Linked DNA regions of Arabidopsis thaliana. The protein of the gene in region 3 purifies or fractionates together with the protein of the main gene of each other region. This does not show direct contact. Each region holds a gene or a part of one and is shown on either strand. Other genes may lie near its edges.

Region 1 (5,748 bases), on a different chromosome or scaffold from region 3:
GGTGAGCTTTCTACTTCACAGTCGTGCGTAAGAAGAAATCCATAAGGAGAATAAGATTACTTTCACTGTGGATTCGCCCATACTTAATTGAGAAGAACAGACTGCTAGGTTTTTTTTTTTTTTTGAAAAATACAAAGTCAAACTTGTAAAGTATACAATACGAATTAAACCACTAAACCAACATCTATATAACCGTATTTAACCAGCAATCCACGTATCAGAACAGAAATGTTGGTTTTTTCTTGTCTTGTTGATCTCTTAGCTTAATCCACCAAAAGACACAACAACACAATAAGTGGAAGACATGCAAAATTAGTTACAGAGCATAGTGCCTTGTAACTTGTAACTCGAAAATAAGACAAAAGTATCTGAAAAAAGATGGCTAGCAACATACATAGATGGACATTTTTGTCTCCACCAAAATCACAACTGTAATCATCTTCTCAAAATCAAAGGTAGAGTAGTTAAATCGTTTCAGACCTTACTCAAGTTAAGAAATACCTTGTCGAATATCTCAGAGGTTCGTTTTATTGTCATCTAATTTCCGATTATATCCCAAGTGTTGCAAGGCTTTTATTGAACAGCTCAAGTGGTTTGCATTGGTGGAAACATCTGTGGGACAAGTAAGAAAATTTGAACCTCAATTGTTCAATTTCATTCTTAAATGGAGCCTCAAATGGGGAACTTTTAGTATATATGTGTCTTAGAAGAAGCAGAGTTTACGCATGTATTCATTTTGTTATCATACTGTTTTTATGTTAAATTAGTAACAAAAGTTTTCATACTCTCTGCTTATGCCAACATTGGTGGTTACTTATGATTCCTATATAGGTCAGCAGAAGTATGTGTCTCATGTTCCTTGGTCTTCCAATGTGTGAAAGCGGTATGCAAAACCAAAAGACTTGGCGGTGGCTTTGAAACAAGATCAGCTTTCATTGCTGCCGCAGCTTCTGGTCCTTGTTACCTATTAAATCAACGATCGTGAAACTCACACTGGACAGAGATGTGGATAAGATGATAACTTGTCATCCCCATAGTTTCGTTGGTATCTCTATATTTCTCTGTTGATAAATTAGGATTGTTATTTTCAGTTGCATGTTAAAACAATCGAAGAAGCTTTTTACATGGTTTTGATGAAATGACAATAGATTTCGGTTCGGCGTACATAGGTTTTGAAATTACAAGTGATTTCTGTTTGGTTTAGATGGTTGTGAAATGAAAATTAATTTTGGTTCGGTTTGTATTAGAATAGTACGGTTTTGAGAAAAAAAAAACAAAAGAAAAAGTCACTCGAGGCTGTTTTGGAAACAAAGCGAGTAGATGTAAAATAGGCATGATTTTGTGGGTTTACCCCTACAGAAATCGACGACACGCGCTCAACGCGAGGTTGATGCGAGTGGGCGTGGTCCGGAGCGCGTGACGCGAAGTTGGTGCGAGTGGGCGTAGTCCGGTGCGCTCTGATTGGTTAGAAAAATGAAAATAGTTGTGTAGTAGCTCCTCCACTTCTCCTCTATTATTTCGTTTTTCGTCATTCTTTAGTTCTGAAAGTTGTGTAGTTTTAAGATTCAATTGAATCTTATTACGAGGTTTTTGGTTATTTTGAAATCATTGATTACTGTCACAAAAAAAAAATAGAAACTAGATTTTGAGATACTAAAATTTTTATTTTCATTTTGTTCTGCAACCATTAAAACTAGATTTAGCTGAGCCCCTAAAGAAATCAAAGTGAGTTGATATGTTTTCTTCACTAGAAAAGTTTTTGCCACTTTTATGACATAGTTATCGAGTATACTATAACATTATACAATATTTTTAAAAAATAGCATAACAATTGGTTTATACCATAAAAATTAGAGATGAGCTCTAACAAAAGTTAAGCTTATTAGAAAAAACACTAAAAGCGTAGAAGATTACTTTCATGGTGGATTCGCCCAAACTTGAGTTGAGAAGAACAGACTGCTAGGGCTTTTTCTTATAGTTTTCGTTTTTTTTTTTTTTTTTTTTCCATCTCTTTTAGTTTTCGTTTGGGACATTTAATGTCTATAATTAATAACAAACGATTGGGCCTTAAATTTAGCTCAGGCCTGGAATAAGCCCATATAGTCCTCGTTTTTATGTCACTCTCAAAACCTCGAAAGTGGTTTCTATCTATCACTTGGGCTTTTATTACTTGTTAAAACAAATTTGATCCAAATCTCAAATGGAACCGACAAAATAGAAAATCCGGTTCTCTCAAAAGGCCAAACACGTGACGTTTAGGAACAAAAAAGACGTTATCACTGCAAGAAGTTTTGACTTTGAGAAAGTCTTTGAATAATCAAAACAGAGTTTTTCAAATTTCCCAAGTCTGAAATGGTACTCGCACCCTGCAGACATTTTCGATCAAAATTTTCAGAGAGTGAGAGAGAGAGAAGGGAGATCAGATAATGGCTTCTCGTAAGAAACGTGCTGCGAAGATTTCAGAGGATTCAGAGGAGGAACAGAGTCGCCGTCAACGGTTACAAGCCATTCTTCTCGCTGACAGTTTCGCCACGAAACTCCTTCCCTTAACCTTAGAACGCCCCAATGTCTTGTTACCGCTAGTGAATATTCCCATGATTGATTACACCTTAGCTTGGCTCGAATCTGCTGGCATAGAAGAAGTTTTCGTCTTTTGCTCGATGCAAGTCATCGATTATCTGAACAACTCTGACTGGTACTCGCACAAAGACTTTACGGTAAAAACTATAGAGTCACCGCAAAACTCCACCAGTGCTGGTGATGCTTTGCGTTATATCTACGAGCAGCAGATTGAGACGTCTCAGATTCAAGGTGACTTTGTTCTTGTTAATGGATGTATTGTTAGTAACATGCCCCTGACGCAGCTGATTCAAGAACACAGAGATAGAAAAAAGAAAGATGAGAAAGCTATCATGACTATGGTTATCAGACAGTCACTCATCACCGATCATCAACTCTTCATCGCTGTAAATCCTTTAACAAAACAGCTTCTTTATTACGATGAGGACAACATCTGCTTCGATAAATCATTGCTGGATCGTAATCCATCTGTTTTGTTATGTAGTGATATGCAGGATTGTTACATTGACATATGTTCTCTTGAGGTGCTTAGTCTATTTGTGGATAACTTCGATTACCAACATATGCGTTGTGATTTTGTGGAAGGTGTTCTTGCTGATGACATTATCGGTTACAAGATTTTCACTCATGAGATTAGCTCGTGTTATGCTTCTAGGATTGAAAATTTCAGGAGCTATGACATGGTGAGCAAGGATATAATCCAGAGGCGGACATTCCCGTATGTACCGGATATGAAGTTCAGCGGAAATCGCACTCTTAAGCTCGAGAGACAAGGGATCTACAAGGCTTCTGATGCTACTCAGTTACCATCTGCTCATGTTGGAGCTTCCTATGTCATTGGACATGCCACAAATATTGGGAGTGGGACTAAGATCTTGAACTCTGTTATTGGGAATGGATGTTCTATTGGATCAAATGTGGTGATCCAAGGCTCATACATATGGAACAATGTTACGGTTGAAGATGGATGTGAGATAAGGAATGCTATTGTATGTGATGAGGTGAAAGTGTGTGCAGGAGCTATTGTGAAACCTGGTGTTGTGTTGTCTTTTAAGGTTGTAGTCGGGAGGGACTTTGTTGTACCTGCATATTCACAGGTTTCACTACTCCGACAACCAATGGAAGAAGACAGTGATGAAGAAAATCTTTTGTCAGGTGTAGATTTGCAAATGGAGTCTAAGCTTGGTCTTGATGGAGCAGGTTACATATGGCGCCAAGCGTGTGAAGACGAGTGGAAGCATTCTGTTCCACCAATCCCCAAAGATAAACTTGCTGAGATCATTAAGGCCATTGACGATGATGACACGGATGATGAAAGTGTTGTCACAACTTCCGGCGATGCTAATACTAGTATTAACAATGATCTCTTTGACTTTGAGAGAGAGGTTGATGGCACCTTCTTAAGGGCTGTCGAAGAGAATATTGTAGCCGACCTTGCGGTTTTGGAGATAAACTCACTCCGGTTGTCATATAACATGGAATCTGCACATTGTGCTGGTGCAATATTCTACTCTATGATGAAACTAGCAGTTAGTACTCCACATAGCTCTATTAATGACTTGTATAGAAACGCATCGAGTATCATTACTCGATGGAAGGGACTTCTTGGGTTCTATGTAAAGAAAAGTGATGAACAGATAGAAGTAATATCGAGATTGGAAGAGATGTGTGAAGAATCTGCTCATGAGTTGGGAACTTTGTTTGCTCATATTTTACGTTATATGTATGAGGAAGAGAATGACCTTTTGCAAGAAGTTGCAATCTTGAGATGGTCGGATGAGAAAGCCGGAGCTGATGAATCTGACAAAGTTTATCTGAAACAATGCGAGCCATTCATAACGTGGCTCAAGGAAACATCTGACGATGAAGATGGCTAATGAATTGGTGGTAAACATGTGTTCGTTGGCTCCCAAAAGGAACATTCTGATTGATTATTTGCATCGAAGAGATTACTTTGTCTTTTTTTCCATGTGTTATTCTAATGATGTGCTATTTTATATCTCATCCATTACATGTATGAGGTATATAAATACAACTTTTATGTTTTTGTAAATGTATTATAGGAAGCTTATTACAGTATTTCCCAAAAAAAAACAATTATAGTTATCTAACGAATTAGAGAAATTTAACTAAGTGAAAAATAATAAAGGAATGATCTAAATATTAATTTTTGGGCTGATTTTGAAAGAAAAGAATAAGGAAATGAAAACGAAGAAGAAGGAACATCGTCTTCTCCACAGAGTCCTCTTTCACCGCCTTTGATTCTTTACTTATAAACCCTTACCTTCCTCTTCCTTTTGTATATACCTATTTCTCTAGAAACCTTTTTCCTCATCGAACTCTTCTTCTTTCGCCTCGCCAGAAATGGCAGATGACTTGGCGAATCTCTGCCGATTTCTCTTCGACGACACCGCCTTTCCCTCTTTGTCGTCTTCGGCATCTTCAGATCTCTTTTCTCGCCGTTTACGCTCCGATGATTCGATCAAGCGCGGTCTCCGTTCTTTCTATCTCCTCCTTCGCTGGGGTGTCGCTCCGATCGGCGGAGACGATGCTGATTCCTCTGGCAAGCTACGCTTTGAGACATGGTCCGATTCGCAGCTTCAAGCTCTTGTTTCGATATCTCAGGCGATCCTTCTACTATCTCGATCTCTATTAGGTACTGACTTGACACTGAATCAAGGTTTAGGTCGGTATCAATTTAGCTGTCCATTTCTAGTTCGTCTTCCACTTTCTGAGCTTTGGCATCTGCTTTTTTTGTTGCTATCCTAGATGAGTTACTAGTTATTTTCCATCTGAACAGTGATGATCTCGAATCATTTTCCTTACTGTTTTTTTTTTTTTGGTGTATCTTAGTGGACCAACTCGAACCAATCGTTTTGGGTGTCATCCAGGAGGTGATGGAATTCTCTCTCAGCTTCTTGGAGAAGTCAAGTTTTAGACAAAATGATCTCAAAATGGAGGTTTGTTCTTTATTATTAATTTGTGATAGAGATTCAGTAGGGAAGTCTTTAATGTTGGTCTTATTTTGGTACACTGGGTAAGTCTAGGTAATCTGCTTGAGGTCCTTTTTGAGCATAGACATATCTTCTAGAGAATTTGTTTTTATTTGTGTTTGTTTTTCGATGATTAGACGTTTGAACTCGTTTTATAAGACTTTATCAGGTTTTT
Region 2 (6,694 bases), on a different chromosome or scaffold from region 3:
AATGAGAAATGATTTCAACGAAAATAAGATTTACATAATAGCCAATGACATATATGCACTTGTCAAGTTGGAGTTAAACAATAACCACACACCGAATTGAGGAGCCCATTGGAAAAAACAGAAGCAAATATATTTTTATGTAAAAATAGAAACGGAATAATATAGTAACAAAAAGATACTCTCTTCAACCTTATCCATTCTTCGCCACTTCTCCCACTAATCCGCTAAATCATTCTTCTTCATCTCTCTCTCATTCACAATTCCCGAAATTCTCTCAAATCACAGATCCTTTTAGGGTTTTTCCACTGTTTCTAGGTTTTTTTTATTGCTCAAATCTGATCAATGGATAGTTGTCTCTCTAATCAAACGGCGCTTCAGTTTCTCCCGTCGCGTTCCAGGAGACAGAGCGGCGATGGAGGCGGTGGTTTTGTTATTCCGGCGAAGAGGAAGATCCAGTATAGTTCGATGGTTGTGGTTGCGGCGGCGGGACAGAGTCGGTGTGAGCCTGGAAGCAGTCTAAACGCGCCGCTTGAGCCACGATCGGCGCAGGGGAGGTTTCTGAGAAGCGTGTTGCTAAACAAACGGCAGCTATTTCATTACGCCGCCGCTGATGAGCTAAAGCAACTGGCTGATGATAGGGAAGCTGCTTTAGCTCGTATGTCTCTCAGCTCTGGTTCCGATGAGGCTTCTCTCCACAGGTCCGTGAAACCTTTCCTTATCTAATCTCTCACAATTCAAAGATCCGTAAACAGCTGTAGAATTATAAACATACAAAGAAATATGTGTAAATCATTACTTACATACTCTTATTTAATCGACCACAAATCAGTATTTTATTAGTATTTATCACATAAGCTTGTAAAGTTTGATTATAAGTTGTTTGATGGTGTTTATCAGTTTATGATGATTTGAGAATCACACTAATGATATGGTTGAATTGAAACAAGAGAATTCTGTAGTTATGATCTTCAGGTGCTTTCTCATACTCTGCCTTGTGAAGCAAGTTTTGTTTTAGTGTTTGATAAGGGCTGGTTTTGCTTTTTTACATTTCATTGTTGCTTAGTTCGTTAAATAGTTTCCGTATATTTTAGTTTCTTGCCTGTGTTAAACTCTCTGACTTGCTCAGGCCATTTTATGCTCTGTTTGTGAACATTTTCTCAACTATCTTCTGCTCTTTTACGAACACTAACACTCTGATTCCATGGTTGGCAGAAGGATAGCTGAACTCAAGGAACGCTACTGTAAAACTGCAGTCCAAGACATAATGTACATGTTAATCTTTTACAAATACTCCGAGATAAGAGTCCCTCTTGTTCCAAAGCTATCCAGATGCATCTATAATGGAAGACTCGAGATCTGGCCTTCAAAAGACTGGGAGTTAGAGTCAATTTACAGCTGCGATACCCTTGAGATCATCAAAGAACACGTTAGCGCAGTCATCGGATTACGGGTCAACTCATGTGTGACTGACAATTGGGCAACAACGCAGATACAGAAACTGCATCTCAGGAAAGTATATGCTGCCTCGATCTTGTACGGTTACTTCTTGAAATCAGCTTCCCTAAGGCACCAGCTTGAGTGTTCCTTATCAGATATTCATGGAAGCGGATATCTGAAAAGTCCCATCTTTGGATGCTCATTCACAACGGGCACTGCACAGATCTCCAACAAGCAGCAGCTGAGACATTACATCTCAGACTTTGATCCCGAGACATTGCAGAGATGCGCAAAACCAAGGACAGAGGAGGCAAGGAATCTGATAGAGAAGCAAAGTTTGGCTCTTTTTGGCACGGAAGAGAGTGATGAGACCATAGTGACATCGTTTTCGAGTCTGAAGCGGTTGGTTCTCGAGGCTGTGGCGTTTGGGACATTCCTGTGGGACACGGAATTGTATGTAGATGGTGCATATAAGCTGAAGGAGAATGGGAATGCAGAAGAACAAGAAGGAAAGAAAAGCATATGATGAACAAGTCTGGTTAGAAGAAAAGCTTCATGATCTTCTGGTAGTGTATATATAGAGAAATGTTTCTGCCGAATCTCTCAGGCAGTTGTTCAGTTCAATGTATAGATCTTGCTTAGAAATATTTTGATTTCTGAATAAGAATGTGGTGTGGTTATAAGGAATAAGAGATACTGTAGTTGGGTTCAATTTTATGTTATGTGTTAAGTTTCCTTGTTCAATTTGATCTTTCTCCTTTTGTCAAAAGACTCAAAACCTCAAAAACAAAACTAAAATTTGGGTCCCAAAGAAGCTATGCAAAGGGAAGGAGATACTTTGATAATGCTTGTATTTTTGGGCTTATTTTAGGCCCAAATAGCACCTTATTTCGGCCCAAAAGTTAGACCTACCAAAAAACCTTCAATTGTCACTAGAGCGAATGAATGTAAAAATCTGGTCTCCTATTATCAATTCCGTTTCTCTCTCGCCGGAAGATTTTTGCTACTTCATCTCCTTATCGCCCCACCACCGTCACATATTCACTGGTAAGCATATCCATTTTGCTTCCTCATCTTCCACATTAGGCTTCTCCCATTTTCTTCTTCCTCCCGCCGCGAATCGCGCGTGATTAGGGTTTATGAAATCTAACGCCTCAGGTTTCGCATTTTCTCAAGTTTCTCGTTAATTTCGGTTAAAGAAGATGCCAGACGTTCAATCAACGGTGGTGGAATTTGTTAACAAGCTCAGAAAGCGGTAAATTCTTTCTTTCTGGCTTAATTTCGTAAAACCCTTTGTGAATATAGTTGCTGATTGGATCATTATCTCATACAGTAAGATTGAGGGCTCACAGGCTACAGCCAAATACACCGTAGAGCTACTTAGGTCAGTAATTTCGCATCAGCGGGTGCCTCACGCTAACCAAGCTGCCGCTCTTATCGATGCTGTGAAAGCTGTTGGTGAGCAATTGATCGCTGCTAATCCTGTTGGTATGTCTTCTTAAACTCTCTTTTTGCTTCTTCTCTCTTAGTCTGTGAAAGGAATTGATATATACGGATATGATTTTTGTAGAGCTTGCGGTGGGAAATGTAGTTAGACGGGTTTTGCATATTATAAGGGAGGAAGATCTTTCTCTAACTACAGCAGCTATGGGTGGTTTGGACTTGTTGGATGCAAGTGATGATGATGATGTAGACAATTGCAAAGGAATTGGGTTTCCTGCAATGTCTGCAGCAGTTGTTGCAGCTGCAGCTAGGAGTACATTACGCCCTCCATCTTTGCAAACGCTTCTCGAGGGCACTCCTGAATCTGCAACTGTTCCATACACATCTTCATCTGGTGCTGATTCCGAAAGCAAAAGTAAATGTACCTTTTTCATGCCTTTGGCTCTCCTTTGCACATACTGTTTTTTTTTCAGTAGGTCCTTATGCCGTCTGTTTTACTGATGTCTTTGATAAACCATTGAAGATAAGTGTTATCGCTGGAATTTAATAATGTTGGCTCATATTCTCTTTTACAAGCTGATATATAAGGTTTTCTTTTTAGCTATCGTAGACAGATTTAGGTCTCAGTGGTTTTGGTTTTGCTTTAGGGCATTTAGGCTTGGGAGAGTTTAAGCAAACCCTATTTTACTGGTTCCTGTAGTTTTGTTGCTGGAATTACCTGTGAGTTTGTGTTGTGTTGCTGAGTTATAGAGATAAATGAGAATCATATATGTTCTTATCAGTCTACTTTTTTAGGTGGTTCGTCTCACTTTATTGGGATTATATCATAAATGAACCATAGATCAAAATTTTATATGGCAGCAAGAATATTTTACTGTTTTTGGTTGATATTAATGGTCTAATATACCCTTTTGTTTAGCTGCCGATAAAAGTTCGTTAACTCGGAAGCTGAAGCATGATGTTATCGAAGGAGTGAATCAACTTATTCAAGAGATTGCTGGTTGTCATGAGCAGATCGCTGAACAAGCTATAGAGCATATACATCAAAAGTACTTTTCTTTTCTATAGCATTATTTATCTTTAACATGTTATACATGGAGAACTAAAATGGTCGTTTCTCAGTGTCTTTTCGTGATGATCACTTTTGTATTGCCTAAATTCTATTTTTTCAGTGAGGTGATCCTAACCCTGGGTAGCTCAAGAACAGTGCTTGAGTTTCTGTGTGCTGCAAAGGAGAAAAAAAGATCTTTTCGTGTATTTGTTGCCGAAGGTGCTCCAAGGTTTGGTTTCTCCCTTTACTATATGTTTCATCATTACCATTGTTAGTGTTTTCTCTCAACATTTTTATATTCTCTCTGATTTGTCCATCTAACTCAGCTGTATCAAATTTTCTTCCATTTCTATTCTATTATATTAGATATCAGGGCCATCTATTAGCAAAAGAATTGGTAGCTAGAGGTTTGCAGACAACTGTGATCACCGACTCTGCAGTGTTTGCTATGATATCTCGAGTGAATATGGTACAATTCATTCCTACCCAACTTTATGTTTTCTTGTCCTTGTCTTCTAAATAATTTGCAATGATGTGAAAATGCACAGGTTATAATTGGAGCTCATGCAGTGATGGCTAATGGTGGAGTTATAGGGCCAGTTGGTGTCAACATGGCTGCTCTTGCAGCACAAAAGCACGCAGTCCCATTCGTGGTTCTTGCTGGTAGTCACAAGGTTGGTTTCGAGTTGTATTTAATTTCTCAAACTGTTTTTTGCTCTCAAAACTTGACTTAGGGTTTCCAATGTAATAACAGTTGTGTCCCCTCTATCCTCACAATCCGGAAGTATTACTAAATGAGCTGAGATCTCCATCTGAACTGTTGGATTTTGGTGAATTCTCTGATTGCCTGGATTTTGGAGCAGGTTCCGGGTCTCTTCAAGTTGTCAACCCAACATTCGATTATGTCCCACCAAACCTTGTTAGTCTCTTTATAACAGACACGTAAGTCTCCTATATATAATCTTTGCTATATTCTTAGGTTGGTCCATTTTCATGGCATTACTTTTTTGGATAAAGGGTTGGTGATAGCGTTACCTTTTTGGTTACAGGGGAGGACACAATCCATCCTACATGTACCGTCTTATTGCGGACTACTACTCTGCTGATGATTTGGTGATGTAGCGATAAAGGACTAGTTTTCGGTCACTTGGTGGGAACTATACAACATTCAGTCGGATAGTCGGTCATTCACAATTGAAGAATATATGTACATTGCACAAAAACAGTTGCTCAAGGATTGTGAATGAAAAAGAGAAACATCTTAGTGTCTGAAATTGTCAGGCCAAGTTTATTTTTGCCGTGTCTTGGGTAATTCCTTTAGCTCAGTCTCAATGGTGTCTATTGTTACTTGATAGTATACTTCTCTTTCAACACAACGTTTTTCTTTGGTTGGCTTTTGTATTTGCTAATACGAGAATTACCACTGGAGGTGGACAGGACATCTTATTTTAACTAATTAAAGTTTTGGGTGCAATTTTACTTGATAAGTGTGAGGCGATGCATTGGTTCGGTACGGTTCAATTTCAATTACCTCATAACCGGATCACTATATCTTCGCCGTGAAAATATTCAGACAGACGACAACACCTGCATAAACACCATTGTTCAAAATAGCCAGAGAGATAAAAGTAAAACCCTAAACCCCACTAGTTAAAGTTAACATTTTTATTGTTTCTCTCCGGCTCCTTTCAATCTGTGTACTGTGTATGCTGCTGATACATATCAGAAGTACTCGAAAGATCTTAGCTTTGGGGCGTCATGTTTTTCCTTCTAATGCCTTCTTCTCCGTCTCTTCTCGACCTTCTCTGTCTTCCTCGGACGAAGTGGCGGCTCATGATGTCGCATCTTTGCTAAAAACCCCCAATTGGGAGAAGAACAGTTCTCTTAAATCTCTAGTCTCTCACATGAATCCAAATGTCGCTTCACAGGTCATTTCGCTTCAACGCAGTGACAACGATATTTGCGTTCGCTTTTTCATGTGGGTCTGCAAGCATTCGTCGTATTGTTTCGACCCAACTCAGAAAAATCAGCTTTTGAAACTGATTGTTTCTTCCGGATTGTATCGAGTTGCGCATGCTGTTATTGTTGCGTTGATCAAGGAATGTAGTAGATGCGAGAAAGAGATGTTGAAACTAATGTATTGTTTTGATGAGCTGAGAGAAGTTTTTGGGTTCCGGTTAAATTACCCTTGTTACAGCTCTCTTTTGATGTCCTTAGCTAAACTTGATTTAGGATTTTTGGCTTACGTGACTTATAGAAGAATGGAAGCTGACGGATTTGTTGTTGGTATGATTGATTACAGAACCATTGTCAATGCTCTGTGTAAGAATGGATACACGGAAGCCGCTGAGATGTTCATGTCTAAGATTCTTAAAATTGGGTTTGTGTTAGATTCCCATATAGGCACTTCTTTGTTACTGGGTTTTTGCCGTGGATTGAATCTCAGAGATGCACTCAAGGTGTTTGATGTAATGTCTAAGGAGGTAACTTGTGCACCGAACTCTGTTAGTTACTCCATTTTGATTCACGGGTTGTGTGAAGTAGGGAGACTTGAAGAAGCATTTGGCCTAAAAGATCAAATGGGTGAGAAAGGTTGCCAACCAAGCACACGTACATATACTGTGCTTATTAAAGCCTTGTGCGATAGAGGTTTGATTGATAAAGCTTTTAACTTGTTTGATGAGATGATTCCTAGAGGGTGTAAACCAAACGTCCACACTTACACTGTTTTGATTGATGGGTTGTGTAGAGACGGAAAGATTG
Region 3 (4,447 bases):
TGCTAGTTTAGATTGGGTTTGATCTTAGGTTGATTTTGGTTTGGTTCCAGGTTTGGTTGGTGTAATTGGACTAGAGACCCAAAGATAATTATTGGATGGGCCTATTCTGAAAATAACCTAATAAACATATCTACTTATACATTTTTGGTGAAACTTTTGTAAAAAATCATTTATGTAAATACTATTTAGTTTTTAATCTCTACCAAAAATATCTAAACAAAATATTTTAAAGTACAAAACTTACAAATCATCAATCAACATTAAACACTTACATAAATACTTTCCTTTCTTAACATCCAATTTATGAATAATTATAATTGAGTCCAGCGAATTTTTGTCCAAAAGTAAATAATATTTAGTTTTGAGTCCCTACAAAATTTATTCTAAGAAGATATTATCTTAAATATATATCCATAATTAAATTTTATCTTTATTGCACTACATTTAATTAATTGCTAATTACCTAAACTCTCTTTACCTACATTAAATATAAATATATAAAAAAATTTCACTTTTATTTGTTCTTATTTCTAATTTACTTTGATTTTATATAAAAATACATATCGTTAATAAATGTTAGATTTTTTTCTGCATACAATGTAATTCAAATTTTAAAAAACTGACATACCGATGAAGAAAACAAAATATATCTACAGGTTGTACATTGCTTACAAAAATGGGCAATGGTTCAAAGTCATACTATAAAAAGGATCAAGATGATTCTTAATACGAATGAGCAAAAAGCTTGATTTATCAGGCATCCAAAATTTAGAATGTTAACCGGTTTACTCCGGTATTTTTTTTAAGGACTCAAAACTTTAAAAAGTTTCAAAATATTATAAATACTAAACTTTACAACGTTTTAAATATTTATAATTTTAAAACTTTTATGAAGATTTAAATATTATAAATATTTGAACGTTATAAAAAGTTTGAATATTATAAAATTAAACATTATAAATACTTAAAAAAGATGTTAATATGGGACGATATACCACATATAAAGTTCTAGATATAACAATTAAATGAAGTTTGGATCGAAATAAGTTTTTTTGAAGTTCTATTATTATAAATATTTGAAGTTTATAAAACTATGACAAAATCTTAGATATAATAATCAAAATACAATTATAAAGTTTAGATCAATATTAATTTTGTTTTTGAAGTTTCAAATATTTATAGTATTTGAATTTTATAAGAAAATAATAAAATGATGTTTAACTTCATGGGACATGGTTATATGGGATATGTCTTGATCGATATTATTACGGGATGATATATTATGGGTGAAACCCTAGAATTAACAATCAAAACATAATTATACAATTGTAAACACTAAACAAAATAAATAATATTAACACAACAGATACAATTTAAAATTAAATATAAATTTTAGTTATAAAAATCGTCACAAGGTGTATCATACATTAAAAAAACAATGGCCTATATATATATATATAAATCATTTTAAAGACAAAAAAATCAATTTTTATTTAATAAAATTATAGACCCGTAATATATCTCTTGAATATGTTATTCATATATAAATAATATTAATTAAAATAAAAAATAACTTTTTAAAGAAAATATAGACCCGCGGTGTACCGCAGGTCAACATCTAGTGTTTTAATAAAATTGCATACCTTTCACGAAAAAATGGTTCGCACTAAATAGGTGTAACTAGACGGTTATAATTTATAAAGGATGCAAGACCTTCTATCACATGATATGATGCTTTATAATTCTTCGAATAAAGCATAGTAATTCAAAATTTATTCTCATAAACTCATTAATATTTTTTGATCTAATATAACGAATGAAAATACTATAATACAATGATAAATACAAATTTTGTTAATAAATGTTAAATTTTAATTGATCAATAACACATATAAAAACAAATTTGTTAATTTATCTTTTGGTTAAGAAAAATATTTTTTTTTAGATATAATTATATAAATTAGTATATGTAAATTTGTTTTATTTTTTAATTTTGCTATTTCTGTAAAGGAAAAAAAATCAATTATTTAATTCATATCTATATTTGGTCGATAGATTTGACACGTGCCACAATCATGTGAGTTATTAACTTTAAAAACCATAGTTTACATAATAAAATATAATATATTTTGGTTAAACTTCCACTGTTTTTATTTATATGTAGTTTAAGTAAATTTTGTTTTATTACAAAAAAGTGATATTGTAAACTGTTAATGCAAAACAATAAATATATTTAATATGGCAGGTAAAATTTGTTAACAAGGTTACACATGCCGCCGCAATAGTAAGACGTAAAATGAAAGAGAAAAATTTATAAAAAACTATCATTCGTATCATTTGTTTTCCTTTAGTGTTTCTTTATTAAAGTGGTGGCATTTTCTTTCAAGTTGAAACAGAGTTAGTTATATAAAGTAGCCATACACATTCACCACGGACGGCTAATAATGCTTGTTTTCGAAAGAGGGAAATGAATCACTTTTGCGGGAGACAAAATGGATCTTTATAAAACATTGGAGCTAAAGGAATTAAGCTGCACATCCCTGTTAAAAGTGGGACAGTTTAGGGGAAGCTGTAAAAGCTGTAACTGATCTTCTTGGCATGCAGTCTTGTAAGGTTAGGCGCGCTTCTTCATACGTTAATACATTTTTCATTAGCATAAAAAAAAATCATAACTGAGATATGATCTGGCATTGTTGTTCTTCTTAATTCTTATGATAATTGTTTCGGGGGTTTCGGGTTCAGGGTACGGAGACGGTTGCAAGCAACGCAAGATCACACACATGTTTACCATCAGGTTTGTATATAGGGAACGTGAAAGTGTTGGTGAAGGCACAGTTTGGAATGGACAGCTCAAAGGAAATTGTAATGAAACTGGCTGTTCGAGCAGAGGATCCATCTGTCAGCGATGCGATTCACGCACTTGTTGCTAACGGCTAAACATATCAAAGGTTCGCAGGGATCTTTCCCTTTCGCTTTTGGTCTTGAAAAGTGCTTATTGTCATTTCTCTAAACATTTTTTTGAGTTTGCTACTTTTTACCATTAGTATAAATATTCTTTTGATGAGCTTATTTGAGGATATGTCGTAGTGGATCGTTTCTTCTTTCGTTGATTCACACAAGTTTGTTTAATTATAGTACGGTGGCAGAAGAATACTAATAACTAGTAACCTGTTCAATCGATTCAGTTGCTAAAGTCGATTCACATTCAGACAAAAAAAACTTAGAGAAGCAACAAAGCCCACAAGGACTGTTACATCTTTCAAAGACAGCTCAAGAGACCCATTGTTACAGAGAACCAAAAGTTTCAACCTTTCAAAAAATGATAGAACTGAAGGAATGTTTCCTTCAATTACAGTGAAAAATCAGTGAACATTTTTACAAATACAAATCCCATTAAGTATTTGAGTCCAAAGTGTCATCATGAAATAAATTAGTCCCATCACACACAAATGACAAACAGTACAAGATGTTGAAAAAGAACAAAGGACCATTCTCATCCAGAAGAAACAATGTTGAAAATGTTAAGCATAAATAATCAAGATTAAGACAGAGAACTAAAAGAAACTGCAAAACCTTGTTCTTGAGACCAAACAAAATGAAAGATACATGTATAAAGCTCGTTCAAGAGATAAAAAAAGAAACGCATAGGTAAGAGAACAAAATGACATGCCCTTTGCTTTCACCTGACTCCAATGATCGTCTCTATCCTTCTTCTCTCCTTGTCCCTTCTCAGTCTGATTCTGAATCTGAATCTGATTGATGATATTCTGGCTCCACCAATGGAGGATGGACTGACTTGAGCTGTTCTAAATCGTTAACATTATGATTCTCCCCGTGGTTTACAAAGGTGCAAACGCTACAAGGTTTCGTAACTGCTTCACCAAAACCTTGTATTTCAACACGTTAGAGAGTGTTCCTTCCGAAGTTGAAGCAATACAATTTACACGCAGAATATCATCAATCAGATTCAGATTCAGAATCAGACTGAGAATAAGAGGCGCGGATTAGCCGTGGACCTGGTCCGGCACAACTCCTTGAAATATGGAGTACCAAACATTGATGCCCATCGCTTTGACACGCAACAAAACCTCACGACCGACTCTGCTGGCAATCTCGACAATATCTCCATGATGAGATCATTCGTTAAGGAATATGAATTCATGATTTCAGATCGAACGAAGAAGGAGATTTGTTAAAATTTACATATTAATGTAAGACCTAGAGAAACCTAGCTTATATACTACTAAAGAGACCTAGCTTTCGTGAATTTATTTATCCGATTTTAGTCGGTTAAGAAACACAAAAATGGGCTGATTTAACGTCTAAGTGGGCCTCCAAGCTTGTCTTCTTCAGGATATTCATACCAAGGAGATAAAAATGGACGTGGTAGACTAATTAAGATGATGTTCAAACAGGTCACGCACATTGCAACAGAACGAACAGAACA

The links. The genes of interacting proteins can lie anywhere in the genome.
Region 1: the proteins of AT2G16200 (region 3) and AT3G02270 fractionate together in Arabidopsis thaliana (co-fractionation; one large-scale study listed by BioGRID). This does not show direct contact.
Region 2: the proteins of AT2G16200 (region 3) and AT3G07300 fractionate together in Arabidopsis thaliana (co-fractionation; one large-scale study listed by BioGRID). This does not show direct contact.

What each region holds. Positions count from the first base shown.
Region 1 is NC_003074.8:447,686-453,433, reverse strand, and holds AT3G02270 (Trimeric LpxA-like enzyme), read left to right. Parts: upstream 1-2,426; coding exon 2,427-4,457; downstream 4,458-5,748. Other genes in the region: BIG (auxin transport protein (BIG)), read left to right, coding at 4,945-5,266, 5,434-5,540.
Region 2 is NC_003074.8:2,323,326-2,330,019, reverse strand, and holds AT3G07300 (NagB/RpiA/CoA transferase-like superfamily protein), read left to right. Parts: upstream 1-2,360; 5' UTR 2,361-2,484; intron 2,485-2,595; exon of another isoform or gene 2,596-2,613; 5' UTR 2,614-2,639; coding exon 2,640-2,692; intron 2,693-2,770; coding exon 2,771-2,925; intron 2,926-3,007; coding exon 3,008-3,301; intron 3,302-3,799; coding exon 3,800-3,929; intron 3,930-4,052; coding exon 4,053-4,160; intron 4,161-4,297; coding exon 4,298-4,400; intron 4,401-4,479; coding exon 4,480-4,605; intron 4,606-4,685; coding exon 4,686-4,873; intron 4,874-4,980; coding exon 4,981-5,053; 3' UTR 5,054-5,403; downstream 5,404-6,694. Other genes in the region: AT3G07310 (phosphoserine aminotransferase, putative (DUF760)), read left to right, coding at 343-698, 1,213-1,963; AT3G07290 (Pentatricopeptide repeat (PPR) superfamily protein), read left to right, coding at 5,638-6,694.
Region 3 is NC_003071.7:7,022,168-7,026,614, forward strand, and holds AT2G16200 (structural molecule), read left to right. Parts: upstream 1-2,439; 5' UTR 2,440-2,492; coding exon 2,493-2,549; intron 2,550-2,556; exon of another isoform or gene 2,557-2,598; coding exon of another isoform or gene 2,599-2,613; intron 2,614-2,742; coding exon 2,743-2,937; 3' UTR 2,938-3,064; downstream 3,065-4,447.